Rattus norvegicus: one gene and its partners. The protein of the gene in region 1 interacts with the protein of each later gene in a biochemical or structural test. Links are inferred from orthologs where the notes say so. Each region holds a gene or a part of one and is shown in the gene's direction. Other genes may lie near its edges. The genes, in order: Noxo1, Cyba and Noxa1.

Region 1 (4,443 bases):
CAACTCAGGAATCTTGCTGAAAGTAAAGGAGTGCTGAGATTAAAGGTGTGTGCCAACACTCCCTGCTGAGAGCAGATTTTTTTTTAAGATTTATTTTACTTATATGGGTACACTGTTTCAGACACACCAGAAGAGGGCATTGGATCCCATTACAGATAGTTGTGAGCCACCATGTGGTTGCTAGGAATTGAACTCAGGACCAGTTAGGAATTGAACTCAGGACCTCTGGAAGAGTAGTCAGTACTCTTAACCCCTAAGCCATCATCTCTCCAGCCCCTGAGAGCAGAATCTTAAAAAGACAGGGAGGAACCTCTTTCTAGCTCCAGAGTTGAGGGCTCCTTCGTGTGCATCTGAGAGGAAGCAGTGGCTATGTAGACTAGAGAGCATCTAGGGTTGGGTAGTGAGAGGGGCTCACAATTCCTCTAGGTCTCTAGTGGTAGGCACTCACTCCTTTGCCAGCTTCGCTCTTCTGGTTTCCGACATTTCTGAAAAAGCCAGTATGTAAATTGTTAAAGGCAATGTCAAGACTTGGCCAAGTAAGGAGGTCATGACCTAGGACAGAGGTCTGAGTGCTGGGTGCTAGGGAGCCTAAGGCAGTCATATCCTTTTTTTTTTTTTTTTCTCTCCAGAGCTGAGGACTGAACCCAGGGCCTTGTGCTTGCTAGGCAAGCACTCTACCACTGAGCTAAATCCCCAACTCCCAAGGCAGTTATATCCTAACTTTGGCAATTTAGCAAAACCCTGTCTCAAAAAACAAACAAACAGGGGGCTGGAGAGATGGCTTAGTGGGTAAGAGCACTGACAGCTCTTCCTAGAGGTCCTGAGTTCAAATCCCAGCAACCACATGGTGGCTCACAACCATCTGTAATGAGATCTGGTGCCTTCTTCTGGTATGCCTTAAGACAGCTACATTGTACTTACATATAATAAATAAATCCTTGAAAAAAATCTTAGAAAAACAAAACAAAACAAAAACAACCAAAAGTCAGCAAAACAAAAAACAAAACAGGGGTTGGGGTTTTGCTCAGTGGTAGAGCGCTTGCCTAGCAAGCGCAAAGCCCTGGGTTCGGTCCCCAACTCCGGAAAAAAAGAAAAAAGAAAAAAAAAAAGAAGTTTAAAAACAAAAAACAAAAAACAAAGCAACCAAAAAAGGACCCAGTAATTGATTCAAATTGTCTGTTGGTGCTGTACTATACTGTACTGTAGCCTGGGGCGAATTCAAAGAGCAAGCTGTTACCTGGCAGGAGGTCACAGCAGGGTGGGGGGAAGAGGCCGAGGAGCAGGTGAAGTTGAGATGGCAGACACTTTGATGATGGAACTCCCTATAGCTTTTCTTCCCTGGGCTAAGGAAAGAAAGAAGCCCCAGGTAGTTGTTTCAGAACAGCCCAGCCGTGTACAAAGGACTTCCTTTCTTCCTTCCACCTGCCCAGGTTTGCCCCTCCTCTTGGCAGTCTTCCTGTGATGAATCCTCTCCTTTTCTGTGTTTGAAGAACCAGGAAACTAAACTGTTTCCTGGAGTGTGAATGCTTTGCAGGGACTCCACTTAGGGCAGTGTTGGGGAATTCCACTTCACTTCTTCCGGATGCTCGGAACTCCTTCAAGCACCCGGTGGGAGGCCATTCATAATCATGGCAAGTCCAAGACACCCAGTATCAGCCCATGCTGTAGCCCTGGTGCAGATGGAACGGCTCCAGGTAGACCATACTGCCCCAGTCCCTCACCCCTGCCCCGATTGTCTCCAAAGAGGCAAAAGGGAGCTGGCAAAGTTGAAGGAGATGTCGCCTCTACCATTCCTCACACAGACGTTTGCCTTCTCTGTGTGCTGGTCAGACAACAGTGACACCTTTGCTCGCAGGAGCTGGGAGGAGTTTAGGCAGCTCCAGGTAAGGAACACTGGGGGACTGTATTTCATTTTTTTTTTTTTTTTTTTTTGGTTCTTTTTTTCGGAGCTGGGGACCGAACCCAGGGCCTTGCGCTTCCTAGGTAAGCGCTCTACCACTGAGCTAAATCCCCAGCCCCGGGGGACTGTATTTCAATGGTATCTTCCCCCATCCAACATCCTCTACATACTCCTTTCTGCCTGTAGGAGCTCTTCTAGGGACCCTTCCCTCCCTGGGGGATTCTCTCCACTTTCAGAGACTAACACAGGCTTTTCCCCATCAGAAGACCCTTAAGAAAATCTTCCCAGTGGAGGCAGGCCTGCTTCAGAGATCTGAACGAGTTCTTCCCAAGCTTCCTGGTCAGGCCTGCAGGAGTCATGGGATGGTAAGGCAAGTGTGGGTGAGTGGGGTCCCACAGTATGTGCTTGTGATACCCGGGCAGATGCTCCATTGTTGACACGTCGGGGACATACTGGCCGAGGCCTGTTACGTTTGCGGCTGCTGGAAACCTATGTACGGTCACTGCTGGCAACCTCACAGCACATAGTGACGAGCTCAACACTCAATAGCTTCTTTGCACCCAAACCTCTGGATCTGGAGCCCATGCTGCCTCCTGGCAGGTGATTAACCTTCGCCCTACTCCTAGCCCATGCACTTGTGGGAAGGGCAGGTGAGAAGGCTGGGCTGACCTATATATATGTGGGGAAAGGGGGATCTCCATCTTTCCTACTTATTTCTTACATGTGCTGGCTGTACTACCCAGCCTGGTGATCCTGCCCACCCCAGAGGAGCCCTTATCCCAACCTATAGGCAGCCTTGCCATTCATAGCCTGGAGGCTCAGAGCATGCGCTGCTTACAGCCATTCCACACTCTTGACACAAAAGACAGACCTTTCCACACTCAGGCTAAAGAAATTCTGGACATATTACTACGGCATCCTTCAGGTAAGGCCACTGTTAAGAACCTGGGGGTTTCCTCTCTGATCAAAATGGACACAGACTTAGGCATCTGAGCCCTTTCCTGGCCTCCTAAACAGGCTGGTGGCTGGTGGAGAACAAGGACCAGCAGACAGCCTGGTTTCCAGCTCCCTACCTGGAGGAGATAGCAACAGGCCAAGGCCAGGAGTCGGGCATGGCTGTTCAAGGAAGTGGTATGAGCTAATCCCTACTATAAACTCACTGCTATCAATGGACCTTTTGGCAAGGCAGAGACCATGCCCAGGAGGGAGGTGGTAGTGGGGCACTAGGCACGTGGGTGCTGCTTTGAGCCTTAGAAAGCTGAAGTGGGTTTCAGAGCAGTTCAGGGTGCCTAGAGGCAATCCCAGAAAAAGGCGAGGTCCCTGGACTTGCAGTTCTACCATGATCCCCAAATACCTATCCTAGGGAGGCAGTTCTGTGCTACCCAGGCCTATGAGGGCAGTCGCCCTGATGAGCTATCCGTGCCCTCAGGAGCACGTGTACATGTGCTGGAAACCTCAGACCGAGGCTGGTGGCTGTGCAGGTACAGTGAGGTGTGTGTGTCTCTGTGTGGTGGGGCAGTGGCAGGCCCTGCCTGGTGGTAAATCCTTAACCAAGCCCTGCTCTTCCTGCAGGTATAATGGCCAGACAGGCCTGCTCCCTGCAGTGTTGCTGCAACCTGAAGGGCTGGGTTCCCTCCTGGGCAGGCCAGGGCTCCCAGACAGTGGTGGGGCAGACAAGGTGACTGAGGGCAGGACTGTTCCCCCTGTAGTACCAACTCGCCCCTGTATGAGTGCCATCCAGAGCAGATGCTGCTCCATCACCCGCAGGGCAGTGGGACAGGAACAACGGACCCAAGTTCCCCCTTGAGGATTTGTATGGCCCTGCAGAGAGGCTGTACTGTCAAAGCCAACCTCAAGCAAAGCAGGGACGAGGGTGTGGCTCTATGACTGGCAGGGCCATGGGCCAGTCAACTTTCTATTTCCTCTAAATAAAACTGGAATGACTTCACCCAAATCTCACTGTGCACTGAGGGACTGGGGCAGGGGTGGGCTTGAATTTCTATAGATAACGCCTCGGTTGGCCAAGGATTTTGGGAGATTGATCAGATTCACACAAGAAGCCAAGATAGAAAAGTGCAGCTTTTATGTGTTTCACAGGGCTGGGGGCGCAGCAGGGAGTGGGGAGAGCTTCATGTTGTGCCATAGGAAGTCCAAGAAGGTGGCTGCTTGCAGGGTCCTGCTGAGCCTCTGAAAGTGCCGCTCTAGAGGACGACAAAGGAGGTTCGGGCTGGGTGGGGGCTGAATGTGAACCCGCCAGGAGCATCCCTGGACCCAGGGCCATGTCACGTACCAGTGTAGGGCAGCAAGGCCTCCAGTGCACCCCGCACACCGTCATAGGCCAGCAGCTCCTCAGGAGCCTCATGGCGCAGCAGCACACCAAGCACAGCCTGGGCTTCGTGGCAATGTCTGGAATTCGTGTTCCACGTGATACAGAAGCGCAGCAGGGCCTCTGTAGGTAACGGGATGATCGTTAACCCCGTTCTGATCTCCCTCCCCACCAGGCCAGCCCCTCCCCAGCCTGGTCCCTTCCGGCCTGCCCACCT
Region 2 (2,929 bases), on another chromosome or scaffold:
CATACTTTTGAAAGATCCTGACTATCCTATCTATCTATCTATCTATCTATCTATCTATCTATCTATCTATCTATCTATCTGCTGTGTATATATATACATGTGTATATATATATATATGTTGTGTATATGTATATATATATACACACACACACATATATTTAGTCTGAGTAAAACTTACTGCAAACTTCTAGAATAGAAAGAAAAAATTTTTTTTAATTTTTGCTTATTGTTTGAAATAGTATTGACCTGGAATCTGTGATTCTTCTAGCTTAGCCTCAGGGGTGTGGAGGTTGCAGACATGACCACACCTAGCTAAGAAAACAATACATTGGAAGAGCAGGCGGTTCTCTTAAACACTGAGCCATCTCTCCAGCTCTTTCGTAACCGACATCTTCAGATGCTCCTTACGCCAGGTGCATCACGGTCTTCCGAAGCCTACAACAGACTCCTAGCTTTTATTTATCCGTTTGTTTTGAGACAGGGTTTCAGGTTGGTCTCAGGTTCACTCTGTAGCAGAAGATGACTTTGAATTCCTGGTCCTCTCACAGCCATCTCCCAAGTACTAGGATTTCAGGGACTCGTGTATCCCAGCCTGTCCTGGCGCGTACTATGTAAGGGAGGCTGGCCTTGAACTCATGTCTTCCTGCCTCCACCTTCCAAGTGTTGAGGTTACCTACCAGTCCACCATGTCCAGTTTATGCAGTCCTGGGGGTTGCATTGAGAGCTTCGTGCACGCTAGGTAAGCACCCCACCAACCTAGCCACTTCTCTAGCCTTCACTGGTTCGTTTGAGCCACAATCACTTGTAGCCCAGGCTGTTCTCAAACTCATGGGGTTAGCCTTGAACTCTGACCATCTTGCCTCTACCTCCCCAGTACTCCGATTATAGTTGTTCACCACGGTGCTAAGATAGTAAGCCTATGGAGGTCAAAGGGCAACTTACGGAGTCGTTCTCTCCTGATGGATCCCGTCGGGATGAACTCGGGTCTTCGGGCTTGGTGGTGGCAAGTGCCTTTCCTCGCTCCCTCATCTTGCCAATTCCACAAAATACCTTCCATGCACTCTTACGATTGGTCAAGGAAAGTGTAAAGGCACAATCACATTACTTTACCCATCGCCCTAGATCAGAAGCCCTCAAAATCCCAAAGACGGGAGAAGCACATCAGTAAATCGTGGTTGATTTCATATACTAGAACACGAGATCGATTTTTAAAAGTTAGTTAAGAAGCAGGGTGTGGTGGTCCCTGCCTGCAACCCAAGCACACGGGGGAGGGAGACCAGGAGTTCCAGACCATCCGGTATCGACAGCAAAACCAGCATGAGCCACTGGTGATTTACAGAGCGCATCACTTCAACGTCATCTGAGCCAAAGACACAGATACAAGAAAGAACTTCCTGAAATGAGGGAAGTTGTGAGTTGTGTGGTCCCATGGGGGAACCAAGCCTAACTCGTGTGTATTCTACTGTAAGGAAGTCTTGGATGGGCTGGCCGAGACATTAGTGGGGGTGAGGGTAGCTCGATACTGCAGGAATGTGCCCCTCCCCCTCCCCTCCCCCCGTCCCCCTCCCCACCGCCCCCAAACAGGGTTTCTCTGTTGTTCTGTCTATCCTAGAAGTTCCTCTGTAGACCAGGCTGGCCTCCAACTCACAGAGACCTGCCTGCCTCTGCCTCCTGAGTGCTGGGACTGAAGGTGTGTGCCACCAGCGCCCAGCTATTACCCACCTCCCACCCCCTACCCCCGACGGGGATGGAACTCAGTATGTACTACGTACAGAAGGACCAGGAAGTAACAGCGTAGCTGAGAAGAGTTGACATTCCAACCCGAGTGTAGCACCAACAGCTAATGGAGTCCCGCTTGCTGTGGCCACCTCCCCGAGTGTCCTCTCTGTCCCTGAACCCCATGCCGTACAGTGCCCTGCTCCAGTAGGCAGAGAGTTGGAGGTGGTCCCAAGTCCAGGGGCAAGGTCAAGCTGGCTCACTCCTGCAGCAGGTGGTGAGTCCTAACCACCACCCTCCATCTTTAGTCCTCATCACAGGGGGCATCGTGGCTACTGCGGGACGCTTCACGCAGTGGTACTTTGGTGCTTACTCTATGTATCCTTCTACTGGGGGCCAGGAGGGTGAGGTGATGAGAGCGCTTCCAGGACTAGTGTGTGAATTTACAAGAGCACTACACATAAGCTGTTCCGCCACAGCCTCCGGAAGCAGGGCCAGCCCTGTCTGCAGTTTTAGAAGCCATGGCCCAGGGCTGGACAGCCACTTCCAAAGGTCACAGAGGGTGGGGTTTGGGCAAACATGGAGCTGAGGCCCAAGATCCCAAGGTTTGGACTGGAGTACATCGCCTCCGCCCCACCTTGCTGGACAGTGCCTGAGAACTGAACGGGGTGGAGGGTAGGTATGGGGCAGGAGCTGTGCCTCGACTTACCTGTAGGCAGTAGTACACCCTGGCCTAGGCCTAGCGTGGCTTTCCTTAACCTCACCTCAGTGTTGCAGGAGTGCTCATCTGTCTGCTGGAGTACCCCCGGGGAAAGAGGAAAAAGGGCTCCACCATGGAGCGGTGGTAAGTCACTCCTACCTGGGGACCTGCCCCCACAGAGCCAACTGACTTGTCCAGAGCTTCCAGCCCAAGGCCTCATGTGCCCAGGAGGAAAAGGACCTAGAACCCTGGAAGGGGGCGGATAAGGAGTGACCAGGGATTCTGAGTGCGGTTGGTGCTGACCCTCTGATCTTTTGTCTTCCCGCTGTCTAGTGGACAGAAGTACCTGACCGCTGTGGTGAAGCTGTTCGGGCCCCTCACCAGAAATTACTACGTCCGGGCTGTCCTCCACTTACTGTGAGTCTCTCTGCCCATCCCCCGGGGAACAGGAGACTAGAAAAACACCTCATGGGTCTGTAACATCGTCCACCCAAGCCCCCTTCTTTTTTTTTT
Region 3 (4,443 bases), on another chromosome or scaffold:
AGGCTGGGCTTCCAGGAAGGGGCAGTGAGAAAGCAAGAGGGAGAGGAGCCAAATAAAGGGAGAGTGCCCAGCCTGCATGGAGACAACTCGGGATCTGGGTATTGAGGTAGAATGGCTGCACTAGGACTTAAAGAAGGCAGGTTAGCAACACTCATGCACTCCAGGCAGCAGTTTAAGGAAACTCAGCTCACAGAGAAATGCCAAGGGAGACAGAGCCGCCCCAACCCCACCCCCCAACCCCCGCTCAGGGTGACAAACCAGCAGTTTGCTGACACCGTGAGAGCTCATTCAGCTCTCATAAAAAGCCTGGGTAGGACACGCATGAAGGCATGGAAACTTAGCTGGCCAGAGTCGCACAGGAAAGACAATCAACTGTGACTCTGAGCACAGGAGATCAACAACCCGGCAGGGAAGGGTGATGGGCCGGCGATTCGGCTGAGCCTAGCTGCTTGGATTGGGTGTTGTGGTGCTTAATTTCAACAGCTGGTCTGGTCAAGCCATGGTGCTCCAAGTGTCCGGGAGAAAAGTTCAGAAGAGATTAACGTTTGTATCAGCATCTTTGGGTAAGGCATATGACTCCCATACTGTGGGGGACCCCATCCAAGCAGGATTATGAAAGTGGACATCAACTTCCTGGTGTCGTGCAGAGTCTATATTGGGCCGCCCCACCCATCTATACAAGATGCAATCCTGTCCAAGGGCTAGTTTTTCTCCATCTGGAGAGCAGCGTAGAAGACTAAGTCCCAGTGGCCACACTCCCAAGGGAGAGGGGCAGCCAGGCCAGCGCCCACTAGTGGAGAAAGCCCTCGTGGGCTGCACCACCATGGACTCCAAAGCCTCAACCCCGCTTCCGAGGGCTCTGGCTAGTCACATGGCATCCAGTCCTGCTCAGCTTGTAGCTCCGGAGTCTCCAAGCCCACCCGGTCACTTTCGAAGAGGCGGGGCCGGAGGTCGAGCTCTACCGGCCCTTGAGCTGTTGTTTCTCCATCAGGCTGCCCACCTAGCCTGACAGACGCAGACTTCTGGGGCAGGGAGCTCTGCTGTGCACGGTCCACACTGGTCCCGGAACCTTGGCCCGGCTGCTGCAGCACTTCCGCCCGGTTTTCCCCTAAACACTCTGCTAATTGGCGTAAAAGACGCCGAGGGGCCCAGCCACGGCCCAATTAAGTTCTGAGCTTGCTGGGAAAAAGATGGAGTGGGCTTGGCTTGAGTAAGGTGTGTGGCCAACAGGGAAGGAGGCAAGAACTAGGAGGCGGGACAGGTGGAGAGGGCGTGTCCATATGGAGATGACTGTGGCCTCATTGGCGCTGAGCTGCCTGGGATGAAGGGGCATGGCTAAGTAATCGAAGACCGCTTCTCAGGCTAAGTGGTTCAAGGCGGGGCGTGAGAGAGGGGCCTCGGCCTTGGACCATCTACTCAGTATCAAGGACAGATTGTCACAACTCCAGTTGGCTTGCTACCAGCTGCTTCTCGTTGTTGTCCTGGTCCCCTTGCCCCTGGCCCTGCCCCTGGCCCACGGTCCCCCAGTTTCTGTGGGGCACACTCTTCCTGTCCCGCGCGCTTCAGCTAGAATCGCTAACTTCCTTCGCCGCAAAGCAGGCGTCCTCACTCCATGAGCTCTCTAGGGGATCAGATACGGGACTGGCACCGGGGCGTACTGGCCGTAGCACGCGAAGACTGGGACTCTGCACTGTGCTTCTTTTCAGATGTCCGGGAGCCGCTGGCTAAGATGTACTTCAACATGGGCTGCGTGCACCTGATGGCAGGGGATCCCGAGGCTGCGCTGAGGGTAAGCGCCCCAGGACTGGAAAACAGATCCCGCACCCCAATCCTTAGTGGAGGCCTATAGCGGAATGTAAATGAAGATGTGACTGCAGACGTGACACCTTATCTTCCAATGAGCACCCAGGAAAAACACGCTCTTCTGCACCTCACAGTCCACCTAGAAAGGGGAGGAATCCTTGCCCTTTACCCTGCCGTTCTCCTAGAGGTTGTTTCACTAATGTTCTTTCTGTCTTACTGACTGCCTGAGGCAGGTTGGAGCTTTGTGGTTAGGAGACCCCTCTCTTGGTTGAGACCAGAATGGGACACAGGGTATCTTCAGTCGCCATAGCCACATAAGCTAAATGTGGCAGTTCTGTACCAAGTCTGGCATGCCCAGGCTCAGGTGCTCAGGACTGAGGGAGGGGCATACTCAAAGGCTGGCAGTGGCTGGGTCAGAGCAGGCAGGGGCTCTGCTCTTTCTCGGAAGGTGAGTGTGGGACGGAAAGTGTGTGTTGGGGGTTGGGGGGGGCACAGATTTTAGCAGATGCGTGTGATAAGTCGGTGTCACACAGTCTGTCTTCCCGCCTCTGAGCACTCGCATGCCTCCCACCTGCTTCTCAAAGCAGACCTACTCAGGGGAGCACACTGTAGAGGGGGCAGCACTGCCTTCCCACTTCACGGTCATCAAAGTTCTAGCCATTCCTGGGTGTGTGATAGAAACCCTCAGCACCCTGACCACAGTGCAGACCTACGTGAACACCACACAGGTGAGAAGGAAAGACACCGGAGCACAAGGGTGAGAGTAGGAAGACAGCTGCGTGGCGATAGTCTCTTTATCATTTCTTTCTTAGAGTTTTAATTAATTAATTAATTAATTAAAACACGTGTGTGTGTGTGTGTGTGTGTGTGCGTGTGTGTGTAAATCAGGAGAAAACTTGTCTGTTTTCTCTTTGCCCCGTGTGGGATCTAGTGATCAAACTGAGGTCGTTAGGCATGATGGCAAGTGTCCTTCCACTGAGCCACCTTGCCAACCTCTTCCATATTCATCTGTCCTTACTGTTTCTTCATTAAAAGGGTTTTGTTTGAGCCACGCATGGTGATGCCTGCCTTTAATCCCAGCACTCTGGAGACAGAGGCAGGCAGATCTCTGAGTCTGAAGCAACAGAGTTGAGGCCAGCCTAGGCTACAAAGTGAATTCCAGGGCTACACAGAGAAATTCTGTCTTAAAAGCCAAACGGAACAACAAAAGGTTCTTGTCCAGGAAAGGGGATGTAATGATCGGTTACCAGGTGGTGACGGTGAGTCACACGCTCACCTCCTCACAAGACAGGAGTTTGAAACGCTCTACCACAAGAAGAACGGGCACTGCCTTGAGTCAATAAAACGTCTGTGTGTACAGCGTAGGCACACCGGCTGGACCCGGAAACGTAAGAAGTTGGTGGAATAACTGCAATAAGGAAATCCAAGTGTGCAGGTCTGAGAAGGCTGCACTTGGGCCTGTCGGTGTGAAGCCTGAGGTGCTGGGTGAATCTACTACGAGCAGCCATGGCGTTTCCAGGCTGACTGTGGCATGGAAAAGCTTCAAAGTCAGCCCCAGCTCCCAGCCAGCCCTCTACCTGGCCAGGCATGGCATGAGGAAAGTGCAGCAGTTCCTGTGCACAGAGGCTTCTAGGCTCTGACTCTAGTACACACCTAGTGTGCACTCCGTGTGACCTACCAAGAGAGATCTTAAAACAGTTATTAATGTGTTTTGTGGGTGGGGATTCTCCCATTACAGATGCTTGTGAGATGAGCTCGCTGGGAATTGAACTCAGGACCTCTGGAAGACCAGCCCTCTTTAGCCCCTGCAAAGAGATTTTGGAAAGCCTCAAATTTACACAGTCCTGTCTCTCAGAGATGACTGTTACTGACGTTTTGGGGCGTTTTCTTCAAGCTCTGTGCTCCTGGTGGACAGATTGGGTTTCTCTGCCTTGGTGGTGTGCCCTGAGCCTGTTGTGAGGTGCTTGGGGCAGCTGAGAAATCCATGCAAGAACACAGGCTCCAGGCTCTAACTGTGCAACAGCCCTTATCTGTTGATACGTTTCCCTTTGTGTTTGTGGCTTTGAGTCCCTAGGTTACTGGGTTTGGTGTTCACACACATTTTTGTCCCTAGGCATTTGACCAAGCAGTGACCAAGGACACCTGCATGGCTGTTGGCTTCCTCCAGCGGGGAGTGGCCAATTTCCAGCTGCAGAGGTGAGAACACGGCAGTATCCCCCGTTCCTTAATAAACGGTTCTTTGTCTCTGCAAACCCAGGCTTGCTCCTACTTCCTGCTGTCTGTCCTCTGGATCCCCTCCAGCCTGGGTGAGGATGCTCTGGTTAGCACCCCCCGCCCCATGTTTCCTGTCCCTATAAAGATTTACAGTGTTTTCTCAGCATTCCGGTTCTCTCCTTATGTCTCTAGTAGTAAGATCACTGCATTTAGAGTCAATGTGCCAATGTGAAAACCAGGGCTTATCCCAAGATGTGCCTGGCCACCCAGCTCTCTAAGAGGAGGAACGGAGGAGATAATCAGGGCTGCAGGCTCCAGTGTCCAGGAGTGGTGACTGGGGGAGTGGAATATCTAGTGAGGGACAGGGATTTCAACCACAGTTGGAAGTCCAGAGATAAATGAAGGCCTCATAAGGTTAGGGCCTGA

What was found.
Region 2: the proteins of Noxo1 (region 1) and Cyba form a complex in vitro, tested with the Homo sapiens proteins (3 studies listed by IntAct). The link is inferred for Rattus norvegicus from reciprocal best matches to the Homo sapiens genes NOXO1 and CYBA.
Region 3: the proteins of Noxo1 (region 1) and Noxa1 form a complex in vitro, tested with the Homo sapiens proteins (2 studies listed by IntAct). The link is inferred for Rattus norvegicus from reciprocal best matches to the Homo sapiens genes NOXO1 and NOXA1.

Annotation. Positions count from the first base shown.
Region 1 is NC_086028.1:14,226,694-14,231,136, forward strand, and holds Noxo1 (NADPH oxidase organizer 1), read left to right. Parts: upstream 1-1,511; 5' UTR 1,512-1,628; coding exon 1,629-1,694; coding exon of another isoform or gene 1,695-1,802; coding exon 1,803-1,883; intron 1,884-2,163; coding exon 2,164-2,239; intron 2,240-2,322; coding exon 2,323-2,500; intron 2,501-2,643; coding exon 2,644-2,825; intron 2,826-2,917; coding exon 2,918-3,031; intron 3,032-3,263; coding exon 3,264-3,381; coding exon of another isoform or gene 3,382-3,391; intron 3,392-3,472; coding exon 3,473-3,707; 3' UTR 3,708-3,848; downstream 3,849-4,443. Other genes in the region: Tbl3 (transducin beta-like protein 3), read right to left, coding at 3,992-4,101, 4,191-4,349, 4,442-4,443. UniProt on the Homo sapiens protein: Constitutively potentiates the superoxide-generating activity of NOX1 and NOX3 and is required for the biogenesis of otoconia/otolith, which are crystalline structures of the inner ear involved in the perception of gravity.
Region 2 is NC_086037.1:67,398,374-67,401,302, reverse strand, and holds part of Cyba (cytochrome b-245 light chain), read left to right. Parts: intron 1-2,024; coding exon 2,025-2,094; intron 2,095-2,485; coding exon 2,486-2,560; intron 2,561-2,749; coding exon 2,750-2,833; intron 2,834-2,929. UniProt on the Homo sapiens protein: Subunit of NADPH oxidase complexes that is required for the NADPH oxidase activity that generates, in various cell types, superoxide from molecular oxygen utilizing NADPH as an electron donor.
Region 3 is NC_086021.1:28,300,993-28,305,435, reverse strand, and holds the start of Noxa1 (NADPH oxidase activator 1), read left to right. Parts: upstream 1-1,612; coding exon 1,613-1,789; intron 1,790-3,916; coding exon 3,917-3,999; intron 4,000-4,443.